Linked DNA regions of Elephas maximus indicus. The protein of the gene in region 1 interacts with the protein of each later gene in a biochemical or structural test. Links are inferred from orthologs where the notes say so. Each region holds a gene or a part of one and is shown in the gene's direction. Other genes may lie near its edges.

What was found. The genes of interacting proteins can lie anywhere in the genome.
Region 2: the proteins of YWHAQ (region 1) and BAD form a complex in vitro, tested with the Homo sapiens proteins (2 studies listed by BioGRID). The link is inferred for Elephas maximus indicus from reciprocal best matches to the Homo sapiens genes YWHAQ and BAD.

Annotation. Positions count from the first base shown.
Region 1 is NC_064830.1:19,016,711-19,024,618, reverse strand, and holds the start of YWHAQ (14-3-3 protein theta), read left to right. Parts: upstream 1-4,867; 5' UTR 4,868-4,977; intron 4,978-5,529; 5' UTR 5,530-5,656; coding exon 5,657-5,950; intron 5,951-7,908. UniProt on the Homo sapiens protein: Adapter protein implicated in the regulation of a large spectrum of both general and specialized signaling pathways. Binds to a large number of partners, usually by recognition of a phosphoserine or phosphothreonine motif.
Region 2 is NC_064825.1:127,465,661-127,473,219, reverse strand, and holds the start of BAD (bcl2-associated agonist of cell death), read left to right. Parts: upstream 1-4,587; 5' UTR 4,588-4,601; intron 4,602-4,694; exon of another isoform or gene 4,695-4,785; intron 4,786-5,049; 5' UTR 5,050-5,057; coding exon 5,058-5,244; intron 5,245-7,559. Other genes in the region: integral membrane protein GPR137, read right to left, coding at 173-332, 585-703, 842-970, 1,080-1,229, 1,366-1,591, 2,382-2,431, 2,521-2,892, 4,510-4,587. UniProt on the Homo sapiens protein: Promotes cell death. Successfully competes for the binding to Bcl-X(L), Bcl-2 and Bcl-W, thereby affecting the level of heterodimerization of these proteins with BAX. Can reverse the death repressor activity of Bcl-X(L), but not that of Bcl-2.

The DNA of each region.
Region 1 (7,908 bases):
ACGCTACAGGGCAGAGCAGAACTGCCCTATAGGGTTTCCAAGGCTGTAAATCTCTACAGAAGAAGACTGCCATGTCTTTCTCCCGTGGAGTGGTTGGTGGGTTCAAACTGCCGACTTTTTGGTTAGCAGTCGAGCGCTTTAACCACTGCACCACCAGGGCTCCCAACACATATAGCCACATGTGTACAAATGAAGAGAGATTATTTAGAAGTCACCAAAATGAAAACAATGATAACCTCTCAGAGGTAGGCTCCCAACCCCTGTTTACTTTCTCTTGCACACTTAATTTCTTTTCATGTTTAACATTTTTGCATTTGATTTTTTATTTTGTATAACGAGTGGTATTACATTCCTTATTAAGATTATCGTCATCACCATTATCATCACTACAAAAACATTTGAGCATTTAAAAAAACAAACAAACTTGATTGCCCGGCGTACAGAAAATGCTGGATAAATGTCAGAATGCTAAAGCGCTTCCCCAAGTGGCCAGCTGATTGAGAGCTGTTTAGAATGCCTACCATTCTACCATTAAAGTTTTATTCTTCAGACTTAAGAGCTGTCTTTCATCTTAAAATGCAAATAATGGCAGAAGAAATATTGCTTGAATACTTACAAGTTTTTTATGTGATGGAATGAGTCTATTACATTTTTTTCCTGAGCACTTACAGGGAGGTAGGAAGAAAGAGAGTTTGAAAACAGTGTGTGGCTTAGGGGTGCCCAGGAGATGTCAGAGATGAAGCAATTAAGTGCACTGACTGGGGAGCCTGCAGATGGCAGGAATAAACCTTGCCGGCTGCAGTTGCTGATGGAAGGATAATGCTTTAGGCCTAACCCTGGCCCTAAGCCAGGGAATGTGTAGGAAGATGTTTTCCTGACCAGGCTGGCTTTTTCCACCTGACCCTGGCTCTAAGTGAGTCTTCATTTAGCACCTCAGGGCTGGCTAAAGGCGGGAGGGGGTGCAACTCTTTATCCCTTAAACAGAAGTATTGATAATAATTATACGGGCCTTTTGGGTGAAAAGTTCCACTCAAACATTTGTCAGTGAAATACCTGCCATATGGTAGGAGAGGAACAGATTCCTCTCTGATGATCCATGGTGCTGGGCAAATAAACCAATGAAACAATTGATGAGAGTAAACTCAACCAGAGGACTCATTCCTTCTGGAATGTACACTGAATGTAGCCATTCTGCAGACCATTAACTCCACTAATTAGAACCATGATTCAAGAGATAAGCTTTCACTAACATTTTGGAAGACTCTAAGGCTCCTTGCAGCAGGACAAGCACCTCCCTCCTGCCCTGAGTCCCCACCCTAAGCAGAAGGAAAGAAAACTCATGTTAACTGACCACTGCTATATGCCTGGCATTTTCTTAAGTGAAATTTAATCACAGCAACCCTTTGAGGTAGGGATTATTATTGCTGTTATCGTTAGCTGCTGCCGAGTCAAGCCCCCAACTCACGGTGACACCATGCACAAAGAAATAAAATGCTGCCCGGTTATACCCCATCCACATAATTGATTGGGGATTGGACTACTGTGATCCACAGGGGCTTCACTGGCTAATTTTTGGAAGTAGATCTCCAGGCCTTTCTTCCTAGTCTGTCTTAGTCTGGCCACTCCACTGAAATCTGTTCGGCCTCATAGCAACACCAGACCTCCACCGAGAGATGGGTGGTGGCTGCTCAAGAAATGCATTGGCTGGGAATCGAAGCTGGGTCTCCCACATGGGAGGTGAAAATGTACTTTTAGCCCTTATGGCACAGTGGTTAAGAATTTGGCTGCTTACTAAAAGGTCCGCAGTGCGAATCAACCAGCCGCTCCTTGGAAACCCTATGGGGCAGTTCTACTCTGTCCTATAGGGTCACTATGAATCAGAATCGACTCAATGGCAATGGGTTTTATCACAGGTTAGGACACCAAGTTTAAGAAAGGATAATAAGGTGTCCAAGGTCAAACTGCAAATGAACAGTGGAGTGGGATTTAGGATTTCCTGGTTTCAGGTCCAGTGTGCTTCCCCCTGTCCCATCAGTTTCTTCTCACCAGGTCATTTAGAAAAAAATAACAAGAACATCAAATAAATAAGGCAATGACTTCTCAGTACTTTGTTAGCTGTTTGTTCCTGAGGGTTCTCAGCACGTTGGATGTGGATATTTAACATATTTCGTATTTATTAGAATGAAACTTCTAGAGAACAGACTTGTCTGATCCTTCCTAGAAGCCCCCACAGCACCTAGCAAAGATCTGGGGAAACTTGGTGAGGCAGCCATGGCATAAACCAGAAAAAAACCAACCCAATTGACGTTGAGTTGATTCTGACTCATAGTGGCCCTGTAAGACAGAGTAGATCTGCCCCATAGGGTTTCCAAGAAGTGGCTGATGGATTCAAACTGCAAACCTTTTGGTTAGCAACCGTAGCTCACTTATTTCCTTGGAGATCATAGTAGCTCTTAACCACTGTGCCATCAGAGCTCAGAGAGCCTGGGTCCAAATTCAGGCTCTACCACTCACTGGCTGTGTGACACTGAGCATAATATTTAAACCTTCCTGTGCCTCAATGGAGATAATAGAGACACTCATCATAGTAATACCTACTTCATAGAGGTATTAAGCAGACTAAATGAGTTAATGCTTACAAAACACAAAACCCAGTGCCGTCGAGTCAATACCTACAATGCTTATAAGAGACTTAAAATAAATGTTAGTACTTTATGTGTCCAGGGAATTCAAGCTCTCAGAGTCTTATTTTTCTCCAACTTGAGCTCTTTTGGGTGCAGAGGTCTTTAGGTATACAGACTTATCCCTCTGGACCCTCATAAAATACTTTACAATTCCACAGTGCGCCAAATTTTCGAAGAAGTTTTCACCATGATTCCAGATGATTGTCACCATGTGAAGCAGATGCTCAACAAATATTTGATGATTGAATGAAAGTAGGAATTTTCTAGAAGCTGAGGTACAGCGAGCAGCAAAAACTTGCCCAAGGTCACCCAGCGAGATGGCAGTACAACCCAGGCTTTCTGACAAAGAATTTAGTGTGCTCGCCCCTTCTGGGTGACCCCTCTCTCCCTACCACTGATGTTCAGTCCCCTGACGATTCCCCTCCAGTGTCTCCCCACCACCACCACCTCCACTGGCTTCTGCCCTTGCTGTTTCTAATTCCAGTAAACTTGAAATGCACTGGTTATACAGAAAGCATTTTATCTGACCTTCTACATGCAAATTCTTTCCATTGGGATTTCTCCGTGTCCGGCTCCACCCCAGCCCACATGGCCATAAACACTCGTGTGTCTACAGCCCAGCCCCAGGGATTCCAGAAATAACAGCAGGGCCCTCCATTAGAAAGCTGGAACATAGTAAGGCATTTCTGTATTAAGACACAGGCCTTTTCCAAATCAGGCCTCTCCTGTCTGTCAAGATACAAAGCAACCTTTAGAAGTCAGGACTGGGAGGGGCAGCTGGGAGAGAGTTTAAATTTCTGGAAAGTCCGAATCCTCTCCTCCCATCTGTTTGCACTCTCAGGTCTTCCATTCTAGAGATTCTCCAGATTTGCTCTCAGTCTCCACTTGGAATTTCAAATTCTTACTTGGCTGTGGCACTCCTTGGCTTTCAATGATCCATTCTCCCTTGCTGGAACTGGAATCATAACATTGTGTGCCCAGATGGCAATTTACATCCCAAGATGGCACCAAGCCCCTTCCCAGACCTAGAAGACCTAACTTGGACTTGAGGGGCTGGGGAAATGCCAGCAGAGAAAGAAGTAGCTGGTGGAGGCTAGGCAAGGAACAAGAAGATGTTAGGCGCCACCCTGAAAACAAGGCATCTGGGGCAATCGTTTTCACTTCAGAAGGGTTTCACCATGAGGAGAAAAACAGAAGACAACGTCTTGAGAGAATTTTGGCTTTTCAAGTGTCATCTCAAAAATAACGCCAGAAAATAAAAACCATGTTACACATAAAATAGTGATGTGAAAAGAAAATGTATTTAAATGCATTAAATATAGAAAAGGTGGAAATTTAAAATTAGTTGCTTGTGATGTGGGGAGCAGGTTCTGGGTGTTTTGCTCCAAATGGTCCTTAATGTCATTTTTTTTTTCTTTTTTAAATCATGCTAACTAGCATTGTCAGATAAGTCTGCTTAGACCTCCTTGGATCTACCTTTATGCAGGGGAATTTTAGTTTTTAGGTACCCGTCGGAAAACTTGAATTTATCAGGTAAAAGCCACACTTAAGCCACTTTCTCCAGGAACTAAATCTTCTCTAATGGGGATGAGATTGTTTCTAATTTGCTGCCCTAATCGCAACGTCATTAAAGGCTGGGTTTAGTATATTGAGCTCCAAACCTTTGTCACGAATAGGAAGGTGGAGGAAAGAAAGGCGCTTGTGCAGCGAGAGGGCCCATTCTGTCACCCTCCGAAGCCCAGCCTCAGTCAGGACCGACCAGCGCTGCAGCTGCATTAGGCAACAAGATGCAATGCACCATCTGCAGTGGCTGCTGCAGAAAGAGACTCTGCCACCGCGGGAGAGGTCTTGCGAGCCTCTCGGTCTCGTGCCGCACCCAGAAGCGCCGGGGGTGGCGGGGAGGATGAGGGGAGTTGGTAACAGCATCACCATGGCAACAGTGACGTCCTTTTACCCTGGATCTAATTGGAGGAAACCCCGTGGCCGAAGCCGCAGCCTACCGGCCAACCGAACTTTGCCAAATGCGACCCACCCTCCTGTCCTCCGCTTCCCCTCCCACCCCACCCCCTCCCTCGCCCCCTTCCGCGCGCTTAGTCCTCATTGGTTGGTAACGGAGTAGGAGGTGGGACTCTTGGGGGAAGAGCGGCGTATCATTGGGCGGCGGGCGCGAGGGCTGTCGCGCCGCTGCCCGCCCTTCGGCTCCGGGGTAGGCTGAGACGGGAGGGTCCTTCGCTAAAGCTAAAAAGCACATCAAAGTGGTGGGACTCGCGTCGCGGTAGCGGAGACGGTAAAGGTGAGCGCCGGGATCGCTCCCCCGCCCCTCCTCCGGCCTTCCTGGGCTCCAGGGCAGGGTGGGAGGCGCAGCCCTCGGCCACGGCTGGCTCTCGACGCCAGTCTCCTCAGAGGCAGCGATCGGCGGGGAAAATGCAGGGCTGACGACCGCTTCCATTTTGGGCTTCCCGGGCTGGGCGGGGGTGGCCCTTCCTCCCGCTTCCCGCGCGCCGCCGGGCCGCTGGCTGGCCGCGTGGGCGCCGCCTCCGCCTCCCTGGCCTTCGGCCTTGGCCTTTCAGCCCCCGGCCGCCCCGCCGACCCCGCCCCGCCGGCCTCTCCCGGGGTGCCTAGGCGGGTGAGCGTGGGCGGGGGGGAGAGGGAAATTCAATTCCGCCGCGGCCGCCGAGACAAAAGGCAGGCGGGCGGGCGGGCGGCCCGGGGCGGCGGGGCCGGCCTGCGGGCTGGGCGGGGTGTGGGCCGCATTGTCTGACGGTGCGCGCTCTCCTCCCCCTCCTTTTTGTTCTCGGCTCCTATCTCGCCACTCTCGGCGCTCCCCACGCCGCCCCTCCCGCAGGCTTTCGAGGAGGGCTCTTCCTGATCCGGGTTGGTTCTCGCCGCCCTCGCTGTCTCTGCCTGTCTCTTCTCCCCGTCCCCTCCCGGAGCGCCGCCGCCACCCGAGCCCCGCACGCCGCCTGTCCACCATGGAGAAGACGGAGTTGATCCAGAAGGCGAAGCTGGCCGAGCAGGCTGAGCGCTACGACGACATGGCCACCTGCATGAAGGCGGTGACGGAGCAGGGGGCCGAGCTGTCCAACGAGGAGCGCAACCTGCTCTCGGTGGCCTACAAGAACGTCGTCGGGGGCCGCAGGTCCGCCTGGAGGGTCATCTCGAGCATCGAGCAGAAAACCGACACCTCCGACAAGAAGTTGCAGCTGATTAAGGACTATCGGGAGAAAGTGGAGTCTGAACTGAGATCCATCTGCACCACCGTCCTGGTGAGTCTGGACTGGTGGTCTCGGTGGTGGGAGAATGGGTGGTGGGGGCGTCAGAATCGGGTGTCTGGAGCGCCGAGGCCCTTTTGTGTAATGCCTTTCATTGAGAATTTCATGGGAATGGGGAAAAAAGGGGGGCGAGGGCTTGCCTAATTGTTCGCCAATGTAGAGGCTCTGAGAAGGTTATTATCCTTGCCTTTTTTATTCAATTTAAGTTCTTGAGACTCAAGTTGATTTTCCAGCAATGAGTGAATCTTTCCCCAGTTCTAGGCTGCTACTACACAATATGGATTCAAATGTCCCAGTAGGTTTGTACATGTGCAGGGCTGAAGCGTCTTGTCCTGGGAAACGGCTTACAGAGGACATCAGTGAACCCTTTAAATATTGAATCAGTTCACATGCTTCAGAGTTAAAAGAAGATGCAGTCACCTTTTTGATAAGACAATGTGTAGTAACGTCTCCTCCTATACTCTAGTAATAGAAATTTATCTTGAAAATCCAAAGGCATGATTCATTTTTCAGTTAAGAGTATTTGTTAGGCTTCTCGTTAAAAACGGGGGTGGGGGCGCGCTAAATTGTGAAGAAGGCAGAACTAAGTCTAAAGAACAAAATGTCCTGGTAAATTTATTATTTCCTAATAGTTTCCTGCTATTGCATAGCTATATTTAAACTTTAGTATTTGAAGTGAATTCATTTCTGGCTTGAAGTAGGCAAGGAAAGCTTTCTAGGTTTTAAGCTGTTCAGTCTTAGCAAAGGTGGCTATTGGGTGGAGGAGGTGACTGCTGTGATTCACCCTTATTAGTGATAGATGACATTTTTAGCTTTGTCATTGCCTGGACAGACTCTTGTTATTTTTAATCGATAAGATTAAGTTTTTTAATTTAAATACTAGCATTATTTCCTGGTGTATTTTTAAATGTTTCTGATGATGCAAAGAGTTGTTTCTACTGGTAAAATATAGAATCTCTGACATAGGTTGCCTTAATTTTTTTTTTTTTTTTGGTTAAGTGCCACTTTAAAAGAGGCATACTGATTTTTGACGAGTTTGTTCCAAATTGTATTTTAGTTGGGCTTTGAAAGATGAGCCAGTAAGCTGGTGATTTTTTAAAGGAGGAATGGGGAAATTGCCCCTTTCTTTGCCGAACGTTTCTCCTTTCTTGGGATCAGACTGGTGTGGCAGGGCGTGTGTGCGTGCGTGTGTGTGTGTGTGCCTGCGTGCGTGTGTGTGGTTTAACTTACCTGTTTTTGTAATACATATAACAGTCTAAACAAAACTGTGGCTGATAGAGATAGCCGGTAAAGGGGCTTTCTGGGTGTGTACTAAAGAAGGCAACACGTTATTGAGATTATTTGCTTTATGAGGGTGAGACACTGTATTATATTTATCTATGTGTTCTTAGCTTCTAGTCCCTGCTTCGCATAGAGAAGGCGCTTCGAAAAGCTTTGTGATCTAAATTGGCCTGTGTTCAAGAAACTTGCCAACTTGAAAGTGATGGTAGGCTTCAATAGTATTTGGTGATGGTATTGACTGTTTATTGAGGGGGAAGACTGATAAGAACTCCATATACTAAGGACAAGGTGTTCTGTATATTCCTTTAGGGTGCTCTCACAGTTATTTGTTTAATTATTGTTTTGCAGTTTGCCTTAGCAATTCAGGATTGGCACAAGGTTTTTCCTGCTCTCTTGCAAGTTAACTCTGAATCAAAGGAATATTTGTTTTATTTTGTGGCTCATATAAAGTTCGGTTTCTATGATAGCATAAGTGGAAGAGATTCACGCTACCTTTGACAAGTGAAAGAGTTTGCTTGGTTGGTATGAGGCTTGGAAGAGTAGTCCTTTCATACACATCATTTCAGTACAAGAGAGCCCCTGAAAGTAGGGCAGTTTTTATACCAATAGAGTATAGAAGAGTTTAGCTTGATTAACCTGAGACCGAGGCATAAATTAAAAATTTCATTAGC
Region 2 (7,559 bases), on another chromosome or scaffold:
CCCACCCTAGGGGGTGGCACAAGCTCACTACAACAGGAGCAGCCGAAGAGCCGGCCAGGGAAGGAGGCGGCTACAGCCCCTAGGATCCTGGGCAAGAAGCAGCAAATGAACTTGACTCAGGGGCCTGAGGGGGAGGGGAACTGGGGTCTGGGCATCCTAGAAGGGTGGGGGATCACGTCTGGGGGGTAGAGTAGAGGCTGTGGTGATGGCCGCCTGGTCCCGGCACCTGGGAGAAGAGCAGAGGAGTAGTCCGCGTCTGGCTGCCCCCGCACCAGCTCGGCTCCCGCCCGATGGAGCCGTACCAGCTGCCGGAGCCTAGGCTGCCTGACATGCTGTGGGTAGAGAAACCAGGTCAGTCCCAGGGCAGTGACCAGGACCACGTTCACAAGAGGTGGGAGAGGGAAAAAGGCTTAGAACAGAGCATGGTGGGAGGGGCTCCCCTCCCCAGACTCTGCCCAACTGCATCTTTGGGTGGAGTAGGGGGAGATGGGAAGGAGGGGGCCTCACCTCATACTGACAAGGAAACAAAAACCTTGGGGGAGGGCCATGGCTCAGGGGGCCTGAGGCAGGGTAGGGACTCCTACCTGGTGCTCTCACCCCGGCTGTGCTCCCAGGAACAGCCCTCATCTTCACAGTGCCCAGCCCGGTCGAAGAAGTAGGATCGGGAGCCAAAGACTTGCCCGTTGAGGATGCGGCTGGTGCTCTGGGGAGGGGAAAAAGCCACCATGGATGCCTTCTCTTGGCCCCCACCAAGCTCCCTTACCACCCCCCAGCCCAGCCCAAGGGTTCCCAGCATCCACCCTTCTCCACTGGGCCCGCAGAGGAAGGTGGAGGCACTCACCAGGTCCTGTGGGGGCCGGTGCACTCGGAAGAAGCCCACCAGCAGGGTGGTGGGCAACAGCTCCCACACAAAGAGGATGAGGCCAAATACCAAGTAGCCTTTGTTCCCCAGGTCATTCACCAGGTCCGCCTAGGGGAAGGCAGGGATTCACGCCAATCTGCGTTTGTGCCAATGGGGCACTGGGACAGGGACCAGGAGCCATGGCTATTAGGAGGCAGCAGACCTGCTGAACGCCCACCTGGTCAGAGACGTTGTACCAGTCATAATCGAAGGCGTCCAGCCGGCTCCGGGGGGCCAAGGCCAGGGCTGCCAAGTTGTAACAGGCCCGGCTGGCATAGAGCAGGACCATGGCACCACCCATTGCAGCTGCCTGGCACACACTGGTCCCCTGCCACAGATAACAACGGTGACCATCAGGAAGGAGTGGATTCCAGCCTCCTTTCTATCCTGAAGGCTGCTGTCCAACAAACATGGCTGCCCAGACACCCCAAAGGACACCCAGGCATTAGAGCCTGTGGCCCTACCTTGGCCTCCAGGTAGATGCTGGTGGAAGGGGCCCGCCGGGCCACAAGGCAGAGGCAGGCAGCAAGAGAGAGTGCGCAGATGACGAAGAGGGAGTCGCTCACCAGGATGCGCACCAGGAGTAGTGCCCAGGGCTGTGCCCGGCGCCGGCGGGATAGCACAGCACACAGCACGTTCACCAGCAGAAAGAGCAGCGAGGCCCCCACGAAGGCCCCTCGGACGGCCAGCCTGCAGCCCACAGCACAGTCAGCCCAGAAGGTTGAACTTGGTGCTCACCACTCACCTAACCTCCCAAAGGAGCCCCCAGAGCCGATCAGAACCACAGATCTTTCAACCTGAACCCTGCTCCTCTAGTTTTACAGATGGGAAACTGAGGTCCAAAGAAGTCAGGCGGTAGCTGACGGCTGTGATACAGTGGAAAGAGCCTGAGACTGGGAGTCAAAAATCTGGGTCTGAGTCCTGGCTTTGCCTCCTGCCAGCTCTGTGACCTTGAACATGTTCCTTTACCTTGCTGGACCTCAGTTCTTTCATCTTTCACATATGGATAATATCAGGTTAGTTATAAAGATTAACAGTGTTTGTAAAAGCTCTTTATAAAACTGTAAAACTTTATGTAAATAACAGCGGGACCATAGGCCCATGTCACCCAGGGTGCAGTTTGGTTTCGGAGCATCCTCTGTCATGGATGACATTGGTACCCTCACCCCTCGCAGTATCGCTACTGCTTCTATTATTGTTGTTTTTCACATACGCAACGCCTCTGCTAAGCCATCTGTGCCAGGTACTTTAACTTTTCCAATGGGAATGGCACAGGATCTGGCAGTGTTTCCTTCTGTTGTGCGTGGGGTCACCATAAGCGGGGGCCACCTAGACAGCAGTTAACAACAACAACAACCTCATTCACAAACATTCCCTGGGTTGCCCTTGCCTCAGCCCTTTGAGGTAGGAAAGGATGGACACTGGGCTGCTCCCTGCCCCTGGCCTGGAGGCAGAGCTCATCAGGGCCCCAAGTACTTACAAGCCTCTACTCATTTCCGGACGACGCTTTGCCTTGGCCTTGAACACCACCTGGGTGCAGAAATGCCCATCACTCATTATGGCCCTTGGCGCTTGACACCCCCCACCAGCCCCCATCCACTACCCACTACCACGGTTACCTGGGCAAAGTAGAGATTCATTAGCGTCAGCGTGAAGAACTGCAGGCAGACAGGGCAGCAGTAGAGAAGCCAAAAGGGCAGGGGCCCCAGGCGGTTGGCTCGAGGGGTGTCTCGGAAGTAGAAGGAGAAGAGGGTGGTACGCAGCGCAGCCCAGAGCAAACAGAGTGCCAGGAACACCGTCTGGTAGCTGAGCCGCTTGTGCCCGTACAGGAGCACCAGCCAGAGCTGGGCATAGACGGAGAAGAAGAGCAGGGCATACAGGGTGGTGTAGGCGGCGGTCAGCCCCAGGGTCACGGCGGGTGGCAGCGCAGGCACCAGCCCAGCAGCAGGCACCAGGCCAGACAGGTTACTCTCCATATCAGGGAGGGAGGCCTGAATCCCGGAGAAGACAGAGATGGACGGGCTGGCCAGTGCCCAGGGAAATAAATACGGAGGGGAGGGGACTGCGGGTGGGTGCTGAGACAGAGGTAGGGAGCTCAGGGGGCAAGGCGTTGTGGCTGGCCAGGTCCTTCCCCTCACCAGAGGGATTCTCGTCTTTGCGGGGCACAGGCAGCCTGGGCCCCGGCCCCGTCACTCAGGGGCGTGAAAGGACAGCCTCTCCTCTCCAGGGTAGATGGGGGTCTCCTCCCTGGGCCACCCCAGAGCCAGGTGGATAGGTGCAGAGGCTGTAGGAGAGGGATCCCCGGCCTTGTGCTGACTCGTGCCGGTGTCAGCAGGAGGGGGAGAGCCGGCGATGCGCGTCCGCTCAGGGTATCGGCCCCTGCAGGGGGCGCCCCAAAGCCCCGCTCTCCCCCTCCTCAGGCTAGGAGGGTTCTTTCCCCTCCAACAATCCGAATGGGGGCGCCTCTGCCTTCTCTCCTCGGGATTCCGCACGCTCCTCCACCCCACCCCCCACCGCGTCTCCTCTCCAGCCGCGGGGGGCTGGTGGAGACCGCCGTCTGGTCCTCAGACCGCCGCTGGGGGAGCCGGCTCCGGTCGCCGGGACCCGGGGCTCCGGCTCCCCGGCTCCCGCTGCTCCGCCCCCTTCTGCGCCTGCGCGGGCGCCGTTCGCTACGCAAATTGCGCAGGGGCAGACCTCGGCTCCGCAGCCCCGCGCCGCGCCCGGCGTGGGGCCGTTCGAGAATTGGCGCGAGGTGCGCCGTCAGCGGGCTCCAGGGGTTACGAGAGGCGGCGGGCGGCCTAGACGCCGGAGCCGCGCCCCATTCCACTAGCGCTCGGGTGGGCCGTGGCCTGGACCACTGGCCTTTGCTGGTTTGGGGCCCATCAGCTCCCATCCTTCTCCTCTCTATGCCCAAACCCGGATCGTGTCCCCGGCGGGGGGCGGCAACGATTTCTCGTCACCTCGCCTGTGAAGGGAACTTCCGCCCATAGCCAAGATGGCCTCCGGGTCTGCCTCCCTTCCCCCCCGACTCCGCGGGTCTTAAACCGCTGGACCCCGGAGCCCCCGCTGGGCAGCCAGCCCCAAGAACTGGCCCGCCGCGGTGATGCCCGCTCACCTGGCCGGCCGCCTGCATGCTGCCTGCCAGGGGCGAAACCGTCGCGAGTACTATGGGTCACCCTCACAGGGGTCCCTGCGCCTTCTCTGCGCCCCGGGCAGTCATCCGGCCAGGGTGGAGGCTCCCTCTCTTATCTCGGATGCTCCAGAGATGGCGCGGGGAGTGGTGCCCTGTTGCGGGCGGCATGGTTTCCACGGCGCGGTTCCCACGCTAGGGAAGAGGACGGAGTGGGACTTGCCGACCCCATCACCCCTCCAGAACCGTAACAACAGCAAGTCATTGCATCCGACTTCTGACTGTCAACTGCGACTTTGCAAAGTGCTTTCAGCCACAGTAATCACCACTCTGTTTACAAAGTTTTCACTGGCTCCGGAGGGAGGTGTCATTATCCCCATTTTACAGGGGTGGAAACTAAGCCCCGGAGGGGCTGAAGGGCTTATCAGCAGAAACGAGTCTCCAGGCTCCAAATGGAGGCCCCCAGAGAATCCCTCACCGGCTTCCACACACGCCCAAGGCGTGAGGATGTCGGGAGCTGAACATCCGGAGAAGAAGAAGGGACGCAGGAGATCATCGGGCGGGCTGCAGGTTGGGCGGTGGGGCGGGGCCGGTATAGAGTGGGCCCGCCTCCTGTCCAGCCCGAGTGACATTTCACGAGTTGATTGGGCCAGGCCGGTGACAGTTCCCGTTGCCCAAGCAACTAGGGCAGGGCGCCCTCAGTACTGGAGGGAGACGGCAGGCCCGGGTCAGGGGCCTCGAGATCGGGCTTGGGGTGAGACCTGTGTGCGGTCATCCCAGGAGAGACGGCCTGGGTGGGGGTCTGGGGCTGCCCTACAGCACCAGTGCTCCAAGGGAAGATTTAGGTCCCAGCTGGACAGGCTGAGCACCCGGCAGAGCCAGACTGGGCAGACAGATGAGTCTGGGAGGCAGGCGGGCTCTAGGGGCAGAGAGTGAGCCAGGGACGTCTCTGCTGTACCCCCACAGGTTCCCGTTTGCTCCGGCTGTGCCCTAACCACCCACCATCTTGCCCCCACAGCCCAGAGTATGTTCCAGATCCCAGAGTTTGAGCAGAGTGACCGGGAAGACTCCACCCCTGCAGACAGGGCCCTGGGCCCCAGCCCCGAAGGGTACTGGCCTTCAGGCCCCAGCGACCGCCACCGTGTGGCCCCAGGCTTCCTGCGGGACGCCAGTCACCAGCAGGGGCAGCCGACCAGCAGCGGCCACCTTGGAGGTAGGAACCCCCTAATATCACCTCCTGCCCAGTAGCTCTCTGCACCCCAGCCACATACATGCTTACTGGCTGGCTTTGGGTGAGTCTATAACCTCTCTAAGCTTCAGGTTCCTTTTCTGTAAATAAAGCAATGAATCACATCACTATTGTAGGGTTTTCGGGGCAATTAGTAGCAATATATAGGAAGCACTTTGTCATAGTGTTGGCACATCGGAGATGCTCCAAAAAACGTAGCTGTTGTTGTAGGGCCAGGACAGAAATCACTGAGGAGCAGGCAGAGAGCAAGAAAGGGGAAGTGACTTGACTAAGGTCATGCTTGAGGTACCTTTGGTAGGAGGCAGGGGTGGAAGGCTCCTTGGTGGCCTGTCCAGGCTACATCCTGCCGTAGGCTACCTGCTTACCCTAGGACTGAGCTATTTTTGCACAGTTGCTGGGGCAGGTTACCTGAAGTGGCAGACAGTCCTCCCAGGCAGTGGCCATGTAGGGGGTGGTGTGGGAAGTTGCTGGAAAGAGCTGTCTACTCTCCAGCACAGGCTATTGGTTGCCCTTCCCACCTACTCAGGCCCAGCCCGGATGGAAGGACGTTGGCGGGCAGTGGCCATTTGTCTATAGTCTTCACGTGCCTGGTGCCTGGGACGGGCCTTGGCACCTGAGACAGTTACAGAGACCTTCTGAAAACACACACCAGACCATGTCGCTTACCCACCGAAGCTTATATAACTCCCATTTTCTTCAGGAACAGGAAGGCCTGGGTGGCCTCCCCTCCCTCTTTCCTGCACACTCTGTCCTGTCAGGCTGAATTGCAGAGGATCCTCAAGCAGCTTTTTCTGCTCTCAGCTGTTTCCACACCCAACCTGGCTCTTCCTACCCCTCCTTTGGGCTCCCTCATCGTTCTCTTCCTCCACTTATTGAGTACTTAGTAGGAGACCCTGGGTGGTGCAAACGGTTAAGCACTTGACTACTAGCTGAAAGGTTGGTGATTCGAACCCACCCAGAGGCACTGAAAAGACCCGCCTGGCCGTCTGCTTCTGAAAGATCGCAGCCTTAAAACCCTACGGAGCAGTTCTACTCCGACATACATGGGTTCACCATGAGTGGGAATCAACTGGAAGGCGAATAACAACACGTACCCACCCCTCCTTGGGACCCCCTCAGTGTTCTCTTCCTCCTTTTATCAGGTCCCACGTGTTGTCCCCGTTTCTAGGGGCACATCAGTGACTAAAAACCCGTTGCCATCAACTCGATTCTGATTCTTAGCGACCCTACAGGACAAAATAGAACTGCCCCACAGGGTTTCCAAGACTGTAAATCTTTACAGAAGCAAACTGCCACATCTTTCTCCCTTGGAGTGGCTGGTGGGTTCGAACTGCCAACCTTTTGGTTAGCAGCCCAGTCCTTAACCACTGCGCCACCAGGACTCCTTCATCAGTGACCACAGAGATGAAAATTTTGCCCTTGTGGAGCTTACATTCTAGTGGGGTTGGAGAGACAGGCCATAAACAAACAAGCAGACAGGGAAATGCTATAATGTCTGGGAAGATAATGTGTGCTTGGGAGAGGGGCGTGTATGCAAACAGAGTCAGGTGAGTCCTGAGGACTGGCCATGGGATTTTAACTGAGATGCCAGGGTCAGGGTCAGCCTTGGTAAGAAGCAACATTTGAGCAAAACCTTGAAGGGGATATGGGTGAGCCACACAAGTGTCTGTGGGAAGAGAGTACCAGGCAGAGGGAATAGCATATGCAAAGTCCCGTAGGCAAGTCGTGGTCCAGGCTAGTGAGGCCGGAGAGGAGAAAGAAGGTACAGGGGAGAATAGTTGAGATGCCATCAGAGTTAATGAGGGGGACAGGTGGCCTGGGCAGGGCCTCGAAGGCCATTGTAAGGGCTGTGGCGTATACTCTGAAAAGAAACAGTAGAGAGCTGAGAGCAGAGGGGACTTGGTCAGGTTTGCTGAGTGCCTGGGGCCACAATGTTGAGACTGGTCTGTAATGGGCAAAGCAGAAGCGGAGGCCAGAGGGGAGGCTGTTGCGGGACGCCAGTCACCAGCAGAGGCAGCCGACCAGCAGCGGCCACCTTGGAGGTAGGAACCCCCTAAGATCACCGCCTGCCCAGTAGCTCTCTGCACCCCAGCCACATACATGCTTACTGGCTGGCTTTGGGTGAGTCTATAACCTCTCTGAGCCTCAGGTTTCTCTTCTGTAAATAAAGCAAGAGAAGATGGTGACTTGGGCCAGGGAGGTGGCAGTGGAGGTGGTGAGAAGGAGCTGGATTGATTGTGAAGGTGGGGCTGTCAGGACTTGCTGAGAGACGAATAGAA